Ovis aries: one gene and its partners. Each later gene encodes a partner of the first gene's protein in a complex. Links are inferred from orthologs where the notes say so. Each region holds a gene or a part of one and is shown in the gene's direction. Other genes may lie near its edges. The genes, in order: PPP2R5C, CRYBG1 and PPME1.

The links.
Region 2: the proteins of PPP2R5C (region 1) and CRYBG1 are in contact, whole or in part, in a crystal structure (PDB 6VRO), measured with the Homo sapiens proteins. The link is inferred for Ovis aries from reciprocal best matches to the Homo sapiens genes PPP2R5C and CRYBG1. Residues at the interface, in NP_002710.2 of Homo sapiens: Lys183, Thr184, His187, Tyr190, Gly191, Leu194, Arg197, Ala198, Arg201, Glu226, Ile227, Ser230, Ile231, Asn233, Gly234, Phe235, Ala236, Lys240, Glu242, His243, Pro265, Gln266, Tyr269; in NP_001358171.1 of Homo sapiens: Pro1136, Phe1138, Ala1139, Met1140, Pro1141, Pro1142, Ile1143, His1144, Glu1145, Asp1146, His1147, Glu1149.
Region 3: the proteins of PPP2R5C (region 1) and PPME1 are in contact, whole or in part, in a cryo-EM structure (PDB 7SOY), measured with the Homo sapiens proteins. The link is inferred for Ovis aries from reciprocal best matches to the Homo sapiens genes PPP2R5C and PPME1. Residues at the interface, in NP_002710.2 of Homo sapiens: Asp180, His187, Arg188, Tyr190, Gly191, Leu194, Arg197, Ser230, Ile231, Gly234, Phe235, Ala236, Lys240, His243, Asp313, Gln341, Tyr348, Glu353, Tyr354, Glu399; in NP_057231.1 of Homo sapiens: Arg37, Lys38, Arg39, Asn192, Lys217, Val251, Glu252, Gly253, Ile254, Ile255, Glu256, Glu257, Pro345, Gln346.

Annotation. Positions count from the first base shown.
Region 1 is NC_056071.1:64,443,758-64,447,305, forward strand, and holds the end of PPP2R5C (serine/threonine-protein phosphatase 2A 56 kDa regulatory subunit gamma isoform), read left to right. Parts: exon of another isoform or gene 1-57; intron 58-2,064; coding exon of another isoform or gene 2,065-2,112; exon of another isoform or gene 2,113-2,136; intron 2,137-2,254; coding exon 2,255-2,608; 3' UTR 2,609-2,939; downstream 2,940-3,548.
Region 2 is NC_056061.1:30,725,508-30,729,150, reverse strand, and holds part of CRYBG1 (beta/gamma crystallin domain-containing protein 1), read left to right. Parts: intron 1-2,175; coding exon 2,176-3,643. UniProt on the Homo sapiens protein: May function as suppressor of malignant melanoma. It may exert its effects through interactions with the cytoskeleton.
Region 3 is NC_056068.1:52,286,361-52,290,785, forward strand, and holds the start of PPME1 (protein phosphatase methylesterase 1), read left to right. Parts: upstream 1-1,604; 5' UTR 1,605-1,709; coding exon 1,710-1,810; intron 1,811-4,425. Other genes in the region: C2CD3 (C2 domain-containing protein 3), read right to left, coding at 1,053-1,107. UniProt on the Homo sapiens protein: Demethylates proteins that have been reversibly carboxymethylated. Demethylates PPP2CB (in vitro) and PPP2CA. Binding to PPP2CA displaces the manganese ion and inactivates the enzyme.

The DNA of each region.
Region 1 (3,548 bases):
GGTGTTAAAATGATAATATTTTGGATATACTGGGTTAAATAAAAAATGTTACTCCAGTAATTTTCACTCGTTGCTTCCCGCCTTTTCAGCGCGGCTGCTAGACAGTCTGGAATTGTGTGTGTGGCCGGCACTGTGTTCCCACCGGGCAGCACGGGCCCAGACCCCCTCTTCTCAGGGCTGCCGGACCCCCTCATGCCTCCTCCCGCCCGGCCAGCCCTTGACCTCAGGTTCAGGGAAAGGCAGGTGGATGCAAACACTGAAACTACCGTGGGAAAACATCAGTGATGCATTTTTTACTTAATCCAGTTTGGATTCCATCATTTTCCTCACAATATTCTTAGCAATGAGTAGCCTGAATGAAAAACAATGAAAACCTTTATCTTTTTTCTCAGTCTTATGGGGGTGTTAATTTTCTTACTAAGGCTTGTTTTGTTTTGTTTTTAACTTGGAAAGGAATTTGAAGTCATTTCTTGGATTGCCGTTTCAGTTTTACAGCCTCAGGTGGGCTAGAAACGTGAGCGCTGGCATCATTACTGCAGGCGGGCAGAGGACGTGCGTGTCAGGGTCCCTCTTGGCAGCGAGCCTGCCCGTGGGTGGTCTTCAGTCTAGCCTCACGGTAGTCTTTGGCTTACTCAGGCCCAAAAACACAGAAAGGGAAAACGACAGCTTACAAGCCAGTCCTGATACGTTAAATATTTTAGGGCTGGAGGGGTTTTCTTTTGGGGACGTCATTTGACGTGATAATTAAACCCAGGAAAAGGATAGACTCCTCCCAAAGTGTAATGAACATATTACATAATTGTCGATCTTTGGGTATATTTCTGACTCAGGGCCGACTCTGTAGGGGATTTAGAAAAAACAGCATTCTTGCCTTGAGAAAGACTACCTTTGAAAGTCAGCTCTCGTATTTCCTTGGTGGCTGCTCCTTCCCAGCTGGTTGATCTTCCAGCGGCCCCTGGAGGGCATGTGGAGGGCACGTCTCCTTCCCCTCCCTCCACGGTGGAGAAAGAAGCAGCCTCTTTGCTCATCCAGTCCTTAGTCCTGAGTCACCGGGTGTAGACAGGGCGTCTCTCGGAGAGCTCTTGGTTTGCCAGTTTATTTTCATGAAACTCTTGAAATTAGATTATAAGACTGAGCTTTCTGTGTAATTGACGTTCCTACAAAATCTCCCCTCCCCGCCCCTCATGCTACCTTTAAGTGTCTATGGATCTTGTTCCTGTGTTGGAAGCCTCTGTGCTATTAAGGTATCAGTTCTCTCCCAAATTAACAGAACCCAGTCAGAATCCCAACAGTCACCCTTCTCTTTTTTAAGACATTGACCAGCTAATTCTAAAACATATACAGAAATGCAAAGGACCTAGAATAGCTAAGATAACTCTGAATAAACTTTGGAAGACTAACACCACCCAATTTCAAGACTTATTATGGATTTCTATGGATCAGTTGAACTCCCCCACCCCCACCCCCCGCAAACAGCAACCTACCTAGATGAAGCAGTTTATAGTGCAGTCTCTTAGCTATAATATTTGATATGACAGGCTCTTGTCAGTTTGAAAGTATTTGGAGCCATAGTCCTGAAATCCTCAAACACACTGTCGTTCAAGCAAAGAGAAGATGCTGAGATGCAGGGGAAATCTATATTCCTCATTTGGAGACCAAACTGACTTAAGAGGTTATGCTGAAAACCAGGCTTTTCAGTTTTTATATTTAGTAATGTGAACATTGTCACTGCCCCTTTTAGTTTATTTTCAGCTAGGTTTATTTTTCCAAAATAACTCGACATTTCTTCGAAGTAATTTGAACGTGGGCTCACCGCTGACGTGAGGTGCACGCAGGAGAATCTTCTCCAGCGGAGGAGACCCCAGTGGCCGTGCAACGTACTGGGTTGGGGTTCTGGGGAGAAATTCAGTTATGTATTGACCTGTCAGAACTGTGGCTTGTATTTCTTCCAAGAAAATTGTGTAACCCTATGTAGAACCTCCAAAAAGAACCAGTGAAGTTCATGTGAATGACATTCATATATCAGAGACGTTTAAAATGTTTTGCAATTCTCATTTTTAACAGTCGGTCGGGAGGAAAGCAGTGTCGAGCATGCAGTTAAGGAAGGTGTAGAAAGACGGAAGGTGGGAAGTGAAGGTATTCCTTACTCCAGTACATAGAAATGTATTTATAAGGCTTTTTTTTATATTTAGGAAAAGAACTGGCAATGCTGTGTACATGAAGTATTTTCCCTTTTTTTCCCCTGTCATTCCAGCTTGTGATGGTGAAGACAAAGGAATCTGGTCCCTTAGGAGACTCTGATGAGTTCTGTCCTGAATTAAGTAGTGGAAGCGTGCACTCTTTCCATGCACCCACCCCGATGTTGCCCCCCACTTCCCGAATAGCCGCTTTCAGAGCTGCTTTTCCTTTCAGAGCCGCTGCCCCGCTGCAGACAGAGACCGCACCTTCCCGGCTCACGTCTCCGGGGACAGCGGACAGAGACCGCACCTTCCCGGCTCATGTCTCCGGGGAGGTGTCCGGGGCAGCACTCCCGTCTGTCTCGTCTGCCCCGCCATCAACAGCATGCTCGCCGGCACACCCCTCCACCAGGGCCGCTCGTCCAGGGTGACCATCTGCATGACATCTCTCTCCTGCCTCCCATGTTTCTGATTTTTTGTTTGTTTGTTTTTTAACCTTTGTAGCTTGTGTAGCTGCTCTCTGCTTTACACCCTGGTTTTAAATGGCTACACAGGAAGACTCAGCAGGTCCCTCTCTCTCTCTCTCTCTCTCTCTCTCTCTCTCTCTCCTTCCAGAAGCTTCCCCGGTCACGTTTGCCTTCTCAGTTTGCGTTTGTTGGTTTCCAGCTCCCAGGTTCTTACTACTGCCTTTTTCTATGAAAATGTTTCTTCTCTTTGGAATGCCTGTCGGCGGCAGTTATTAAATATTTTAAGTATCTGAAAGGCTTTTGTTTTGCCTCGCTTTGCTTTGTTTTACAACTCAGCATGGAATGGACATAAAATTCAGGGTAGAATTTCCCTCTGAGTTTCTCCCGGGTCGAAGGCAAACTAGGCTTCACTGATGAGAGCGCTTTTACAAGGGCTGTGACCCTGATCGGCAGCCCCTGAAGCTATCTTACACCAGTTTCCGGGAGAGAAAATCAGAATTCCTGCCTTTGCCATAAATGAACCTTAATATCCAAATAACATTTCTAGAAACAGTCCTAAAATGATATGACACAAAACTCTTTCCAAACCTTGACATTATTACGGTCTTCACAGGTAAACTTGCCAAGAACCGTGAGAAATAGCGGCTCTGCAAAACGGCACTTTTCATATATGGTTTCTGCAAGTCCCTGAATATTTTTATTAAAGCACAGAGAAGTATACTTTGCGTATCATGCCAGCGGTCCTGGCACGCTGGCCACTCGGGAGTGGTCAGAGATGTGTGCTATTGGCTATCAAGTGATTGACTTGGCACGAGTGTTTTCTGGCAGGTGCTTGCTCATCACCACAAACAGTACTGCTGTTCAAGTGCTGCCTCCCCGTTGCTGGAGACACTTAAACAGAGAG
Region 2 (3,643 bases), on another chromosome or scaffold:
TCAGTAAAACTTCCTCATGAGCTCCTGTCGGAAGTGTGGTCTGCAGTCTACTCTCTTGGGCTAACTCTGGCTCAGGGGTGCCCATTGCACCATCCTGTAGGGTGGGGTTGAGGGAGGTGGGGTTGGAAGATGAGGACCTGGGCTTGAATCCTGATATTGCCCCCACACGTAATATACTTGAAGTCTCTCAGCTTGGATCTTTCCTTTCCTCCTTTCGGCTGTAGGGTAACAAGCACCTCACATTGCCGTTACAGAATTATATGATGTTACTGTAACAGGGGGCTTCCCTGGTGTCTCAGTAAAGAATCTGTCTGCAATGCAGGAGACCTGGGTTTGATCCCTGAGTGGGGAAGATCCCCTAGAGAAGGGAATGGCAACCCACTCCAGTATTCTAGAGGAGCCTGGCAGGCTATAGTCTATGGGGTCACAAAGAGTCGGACACGAATGAGTGACTAAGCACAGCACAGCATATAGTAACAGGGCTGTCTCAGTAAGTGCTTGTGGACCCTGTTAATTCCATGCTTTATCTTAGTCTTTTTTGTTTACCACCATCTCCAAAGTCCACTGGCTGCATATACTTCAAATGAAATGGAGCAAGCTTTAAAGAGTGATTCAGGAACCTCTCTTGTAAACAGTCAATATGTAAAAACTGCCCTGTGTGTTCACCTTTCTGGAAAGGTGGGGGTCAAGCTAGCTCCTGGGTTTCAGGTGAAAGAGGTAATCTTAATATTAAATCTGTTGTAGCCAGACGTGTGTGGGGTTGGGTTTCAGTGGGCTTGTCACCAGGATAGACTTCCCTCCGCTGGGAGCCAGGCTGGGTTCCCGCTTGAGCTCCCTCCCTCCGTCCCGCAGGCGGGCCTCCTCTTCCTGCCTGCCCGGCCCCTTGGCTACCAGCTCTGCGCTCGCTGGGCGCCCATTGGCGGATTTGCTTTTATTGATTTGTTCTGAGCGGGCTCCTGGCTTCCCGCTCCAGTGCAGGCGCCGGCCGTTTTGCCCCAGGCTATGGAATAGGAACGGGTTTTCCCCTTTATGGGCACGGGCACTGGGCGGCTCTCGCAGGTGGTGGGGGCTGTGGGGGGGGAGGTGGTTCCCTTCCCATGGATAGGTCGGACCCCGAGCCCATTGGGTTGCTGAGGAATCGATCCCTGGCCGAGGTCAGCGTGGGAGAGTCCTGCGCTCTTCTGTCCTCCGTGACGCATGGCGGGGGACCTACAACGTGGTCACCCTGCACCTTTGCCCTCCCTCCAGCACCTGCCCCCATATTGACACCCAGGAACACCCCACGGGCAACAGCCTCTTGGGTGAGCTGGGCAGTGGCCAGCTGTGTTCCCTGGGGACCAGCAGATGTTTGAATGTCCACCTGCTTCTCCCATTGGACGGGCACGGCCTGGCCAGTTGAGAACCTCCGACTTGGCTGGGGGCACACCCACGTACTTGAACTCGATTTCTTAAGGTTTTTCAGTTGAACCCAAAGTGGCTTCTTTCTGTTCTGGAAGAGAAGACTGTTTTTCCTTGTTCTTCTTCCTGCCTAAAGAAAGAAGTGGAGGTATTTGGGGGGAGGGGGGTGGGGAATTCCACTTTAACATACTTTAGCATGTTTACTGCTGCCCTATAGGCAGACATGGCTGTTTGGAATTACATCTTTATGGGATTTCCTGGTGGCTCAGACAGTAAAGAATCTGCCTGCAATTCAGGAGACCCAGGTTCAACCCCTGGGTCAGGAAGATCCCCTGGAGAAGGGAATGGCTACCCACTCCAGTATTCTTGCCTGGAGAATCCCATGGACAGAGGAGCCTGGTGGGCTATAGTGCAAGGGATTGCAAAGACTCGGACACTACTGAGTGACTAACTGAGGTATAAAGCAAAACAGAACTGGGAGTTATTTATTTTGCATGTGTGATTATTTGGACGTTCCGAATTTTCTCTCATGATTTTCCTTCTATAGATAAAGGAAATGTTACTCTTCGGTAGCACCGAGCAGAAATAGTGTTTGAGAAAAATTCAAAAAGTGAAAAAAAATTATTTTGTTGGAATGAATGCGAAAATGTAACTCTCGCTTTCAATTAGAAACTCAAGCCTATTTTGGCTTGTAGTTCCATAATGTACTTACTATTAATACTAATAGGAAAAGCAGGATTCTCACATCTGTGTCTCCCATCCCCTTTTATTTTTCAGTCCAGAGCACAACCACCAGAAGAGAACAAAAGGAAGCCAGTTTTGGGGAAACTTGGCACTCTGTTCACGGCCGGAAGGAGAAGGAACAGCAGAAATGGGTTAGAGAGTCCCACCAGCTCAAATGCCAAACCAGGCTCTCCCAAAGAAGTAACCTCTTCCAAACTCCCAGAAAGGGAGACTGAGAAGAGTCAACCTCTGGGCGGCCAACCAAGGCCGACAGACGTGTGCGAGGAGGGCTCCCCACAGGAGAAGTGCCAGGAGCCGGAGGGTGAACACCCCGAGGGCTGCATGCAGGCAGCCCCCCCGGACGCCACACGATCACCTGGCCGGGGCAGCCATGCAGCGGCGGCTGTGCAGCAGGGCTGTGAAAGTGATTCACCCCAATTAGAACCTCTGGAGGCAGAGCGAGAGACCTTCCCAGATGCCACCGCCACTGCCAAGCAGCTGCGTTCCTCATTAGAGAACTCCTCCAGGCGGGAGAGCGCAGAGGCGCTCATCCGCAGTCCGGGGGAGGACGCTTCGCCCGGCGCTGGCAGCGAGCAGGAGCCCACCCAGGGATCGAGGGGCGTGCGGGGCTCGCCCGCTGGGGAGCATACCGCCGAAGGGCCCCACCTCGTGTGTGTCCACGGAGGCTCTCCGGAGCCCCAGGGCGTGCTGAGCCAAGTCCCGGAGGACTCTTCGGCTTCGCCCGGCGACCCTCCCGCCGAGGGTTCGGAGAACCGGGCGGGCTCAGCACCAGTCAATGGCAAAGCCGAGTCCCCGGGGCAAGACTGCCGGCCCCGCGAGCGCGCCCACCCAGCAAAAGTGCTGACTCTGGACATCTACTTGAGTAAGACCGAGGTGGCACAGGTCGGCGAGCCGGTCGTGATCAGCCCCGGGGCGGAAGATTGCGGCGATTGCGACGACATGGAAAAGAGGTCGAGCGGCCGCAGGTCTGGGAGACGGAGGCGGTCGCAGAGATCCACCGACTCCCCCGGCGCTGACCCACCGCTGCCCGACTGTGCGCCCCGGGACGACACGGTGTTCGAGGACGAGGTGGCGCCAGACGCGGCTGCCGAGAACGGCTGTGCAGAAAAGAAAGTGAAATCTCCGCAGGCGGCCCCCAATGGGGGCGTTGCCTCCGCTGCCGGCCTCGAGTCCAAGCCCAGCCCCAGCCCCAAAGGGCAGCTCCGAGGGGAGCCGGAGCGAAGCAAACAGCCGCCGCCCACCTCGTCCCCCACCAAGAGGAGGGGCCGGAGCCGCGTCCCCGAGGCCGTGCCCACCTCGCCCGCCGGTGGCCCGCGGGCTCCGGCCAAGGACTCCCCTCTCAAGAAGGCGCCAGACCCCGGCCCCAGCCCGGCCGCCAAGGAAAGCGGGGAGGAGGCGGCCCGGGTCATCCCCCGGGAGCTCACGGTTAAGAGCAGCTCGCTACTGCCTGAGATCAAGCCCGAGCACAAGAGGGGGCCGCTCCCCCACCTCTTGGACGGCC
Region 3 (4,425 bases), on another chromosome or scaffold:
GCAGAGTCACCCAGTTTTTGTTTTGAGGCAGCTCTGCAGAGATTTAATTTTGTTTCCTGATCTGCCCTGGGTTCCTAGGGTGACTGTTCTTGCTGAAGCTAACATTCCCCTGGTCTCCTTAAGTGGACTAACTTGATAAAGTCCTGTTAAACACTTTCACCATCTCAAATCCTTCAGAGATCTTCATACCCTCACCTCCTATCACACTGTCAATCCCCAGTCTTTCTTTCTCTCTCCTCTGTAACTGGCTTTTCTCTACTCCCATCTGTAGCCCTTCATGATTCATGATTGCCTCACACCTCAGTCATTCAACTAACATTTATCGAGTTCTGTTGTGTGCTAGTTTGGGGGGATTCGCTACGGCCTAAAACGTGATTCTTGCCTATTAGGATTACCGACACACTCTCCAACTTGTTTTCCTTCCAGTCCCATACGGACCCGCAAAGCTCTACATCCCCTTTTCCTGCCCTCACACGCTTATCAAAAACATTCCTAAGTCACGGGGATTTAAGGTACACTTGGTGACGGTAATGGTAGTGTACTGTGTGTTTGAAGGCTGCTAAATAGTAGATCTTAAACGTTCTCTGCAAAAGAAAAAAAAATTGTAACTATGTATGGTGAAGGATGCTAACGAGACAACTGACAATCATTTCGAAATATATACAAATATCCACTCCAAACGTACACCTAAAACTAACATAATGTTATATGTTACTTATACCTCAATTTTTAAAAAGTAAAAGCCAAAACAAAACCTACAATTTTTTTGTTCTCTTCCTTTGGAAGCATTTCCTTTTAGCCCTCCCCTCATTCCATTTATTCACCCACTTTGTCCCCTAGTCAAGACCCTATACCGTTTCCATTCTAGGGGGGGTCAAATGCACTCTTTTAACCTTCCGATGCCCTGGGTTTATTTTCCCTCCGCAATCCTCTTCCCCCCTTTTTTAACAGGCGGCTGTGGGAGGTCTTCCTAGAATGCCTAGCGCCCCGCTCCCCGAACTCCGCCCAATCGCCCAACTAAGCTTTCTTCCACCTTTGGTCGTCCAGATTACCTCTCTTCTTGCGGCTACGGCCGCCCCCAGGCCCCTGAGCTTTCCGTTGCTTCATGACGACCCCGAGCTCTTCACCAACTCAACTACGGCTCCAGCACCTAAGCTGTAGCCTCCCGCCATCCCTTCCCAGGGCGCTGGCGTTCCCCAGCAACCGGCGCCGCTGGGCAGCCTGGGAGGCAGGAAGAAGTGGTTCTTTCTTTAACAGTCTCTGGGAAGCGACGGGAAAAGAAGGCGCCAAGACGCTTTCCTACCAGTAGACTACAACACCCAGGATGCTTTGCTACGCTACCTCTGCAGGGTTGAACGCGGTCGCCTCCAACTGCGCAAGCGCAGAACGCGCTCTTTGCGGACTCCATTGCCCAGGGTACATAGGAGCGCTTCTCTTTCCGGCGAAGGTCGTGGAGTTCTCCGGTAGGGGTCTGAAGGGTCAGAGACTCCGTTACCCAGCACCCTTTGTGGAGTGTTGCTGCGCACTTCCGGTGGAAGTGCTGGGGCGAGGGGGTGGAGTTTACAGAGCCGGTGGGCGGTGCTGCCGGTAGCTGGGTGCTGTCTAAAGGCTACAGGGCGTCGCTAGGGGAGTGAGCTGTGACCGGTTGGGCCGCGCTTAGCTTGGGACGAAGCTTCGGCTACTGTTCGACTACCTGCGGCCTCCCCTTCATGTCGGCCCTCGAGAAGAGTATGCATCTTGGGCGCCTGCCCTCTCGCCCTCCGCTACCCGGCAGCGGGGGCAGTCAGAGCGGAGCCAAGATGCGAATGGGGTACGTGACCCGTACCCCTTCTCCCTAGAGGCCAGGCCCCGACCGTTGGAGAATGGTGGCTCTCGGCGTTTAGAGTGGCATGGCAAGGGAGGCTAAGGATTGAGAGAATGTTGGCGGCGGCCTGGAGACCTTTACATGAAGTAGAAGGCAGATCTGGGGACTAGGGGAGGCGCCAAGTCACTGGAAATTAGAGGACAAATAGTATTGGAGGGAGAAGGGAATGAGGCAGAGATTGAGGAAGCTGAGAAGATAGTTTAAGAGATGAAGGAGGCACCTCAGAAGAACGGGTGGAGGCTTGAGAAAAGGAAAAAGAGTTGTGACAAAGGTGGAGGGAAATCTTCCAGGGACGGTTGAGGGAAATGAGAAATGACTGAGTGAAAAGTTGAGGGAAATTAGGAGGAGAACTAGGGAAAGATTTGGGAGGAGTAAATCTTTATCTAGTTTCTGTGAGAAACTGTGAGAAAGAAGCTGGGGGAAACGGGACACCTGAGGTAGGGTTGGAGAAGGAAAGAGAACTAGGGAGCAGAAGGTTCTGGAGAGAGTTTCTAAAGGTGAAGAGGCATATTCAGGGAGTGAGCAAGTGACTTAGAGATTAGGTCTCTTAAGGGATGCTGAGAAAGTGTGGGTAATAGGCCTAAGGAAAGATGGAGAACATAGCCAGGAAGACTGTTAGGGGTAGGGGTGATAGGATAGCCAGGAAGACTGTTAGGGGTAGGGGTGATAGGAATGTGCTGAGAAGTGAGGGTAGGGAATAAGGGGAGGAGTGATGAGAGAGAGCATGCAGGGATTTAGAGAGTGAGTGTGGGCTCCAGAGATTGAGAAATGAGTAGAAAACGGGTTTAACTAATGGCTTACTGCAGACAGAAGGTCTGGGAAAGGTTAAAGACGAAGATTTGGGCAATTGATTTTTGCAGGGCAGGTAGGTCTGGTGGAAGTTATGTACTGGTCTGATAAAACTCAGTGAAGTATTGAGAGTAGCATCTTAAAATGTTTTGAGGGAAACCACTGTTTGCTCGAATGGGAGGAGCTGTGTTGGCATTTGGAATTTTAGGTTGTTGAATGACTGGGCCGGGTTGGGGGATCTAAGATGTAGGAGAGAGAGTGTAATGAGTTGCACCTGGGAGAGGTAATTGCTAGAAAATAGGTAATTGATCAGGTAGTCGGTTTTGAGGTGTGTTTGTAGAATCAGACAGGATTCTGGAGACTAGTGACTGTAAGGGATAGAAAAAATACTTAGGTATGTGGTAATCAAGAGTGTGTTTGGAATTCTAGAGATGGATTGATAGATATTCTTGGAATAAGGACTAGAGAAAAAAAATCTTAGGTTCTGAAGAAGTAACATGTACAAAAGCTTACCAAAAAGGAGACAAAGATAGGAGATACAGTGCTGTGAAAACAGGTCCTAGGAATGGAGAGAAAGGAGATTAAAACAGTAGGGTAGAGGGGTAGTGAGAATGGTTGGAAAAACCGGAGAAGGAAACAAAAACTTGAAGTGGAGACCTGGCCATGGGTCAGAGTAGAAAAATGAGAAAACCTTGACAGATGAAGGTAAAAGGTAGGTCAGTGAACGCACACAGTACGAAGAGGTGGCAGAAGGCTGCATGTAAGGTAAAATGAAGATTGTTTTGACTTTGGAAGACTAAGGTAGGGCTGTAACATGATCATGGAGGATCTGCAAGCTGATCTGTGGTAGATTATTTGGGGAAGATTAACCTGGACTATAAAATTAATGTAGCATTTACTGTTAATATGTATCTTAGTTGGTGCCTTTCTTAATCTAAACTTTGGTTTTTCAGTATTCCTGTGCTCTTCTGTGAAAATACATAAAAATACTAGCCTTTTAATAACCATATGTGCTTCAGATAAGTTTAGAGCTTAGCTTCTCGTTTTGGCAAAACAAGTTCTCTGAAGATGAAGAACTGAAGAAAAATGCTAAGAGAGTAAAATCTGATTAGCATCCACTTGGGGCAGCACATGTACTAAAATCTACTGATTAGCTTAATTGTTAGTAACTTAACCTCTTTAACGGAGAAGGCAATGGCACCCCACTCCAGTGCTCTTGCCTGGAAAATCCCATGGATGGAGGAGCCTGGTGGGCTGTAGTCCATGGGGTCCCTAAGAGTCGGACACGACTGAGCGACTTCACTTTCACTTTTTACTTTCATGCATTAGAGAACGAAATGGCAACCCTCTCCAGTGTTCTTGCCTGGAGAATCCCAGGAACGGGGGAGCCTGGTGGGCTGCTGTCTCTGGGGTCACAGAGTCGGACACAACTGAAGCAACTTAGCAGCAGCAGCAGTAACCTCTTTGAGGGCTTCCCTTGTGGTTCAGCTGATAAAGAATCCTCCTGCAATGTGGGAGACCTGGGTTTGATCCCTGGGTTGGGAAGATCCCCTGGAGAACGGAAAGGCTACCCACCCTAGTATTCTGGCCTAGGGAATTACATGGACCAGTCCATGGGGTTGCAAAGAGTTGAACATGATTGAGTGACTTTCACTTTAACCTCTTTAAATAGATGGTTTGATCCTCTTAATTTAGGTTAACTGCTTATTCTGGAAAATAAAGTTCTTTAGAAAGATGCTGCTTTATAGTACTGTGGAAAGAAGAGCATATAT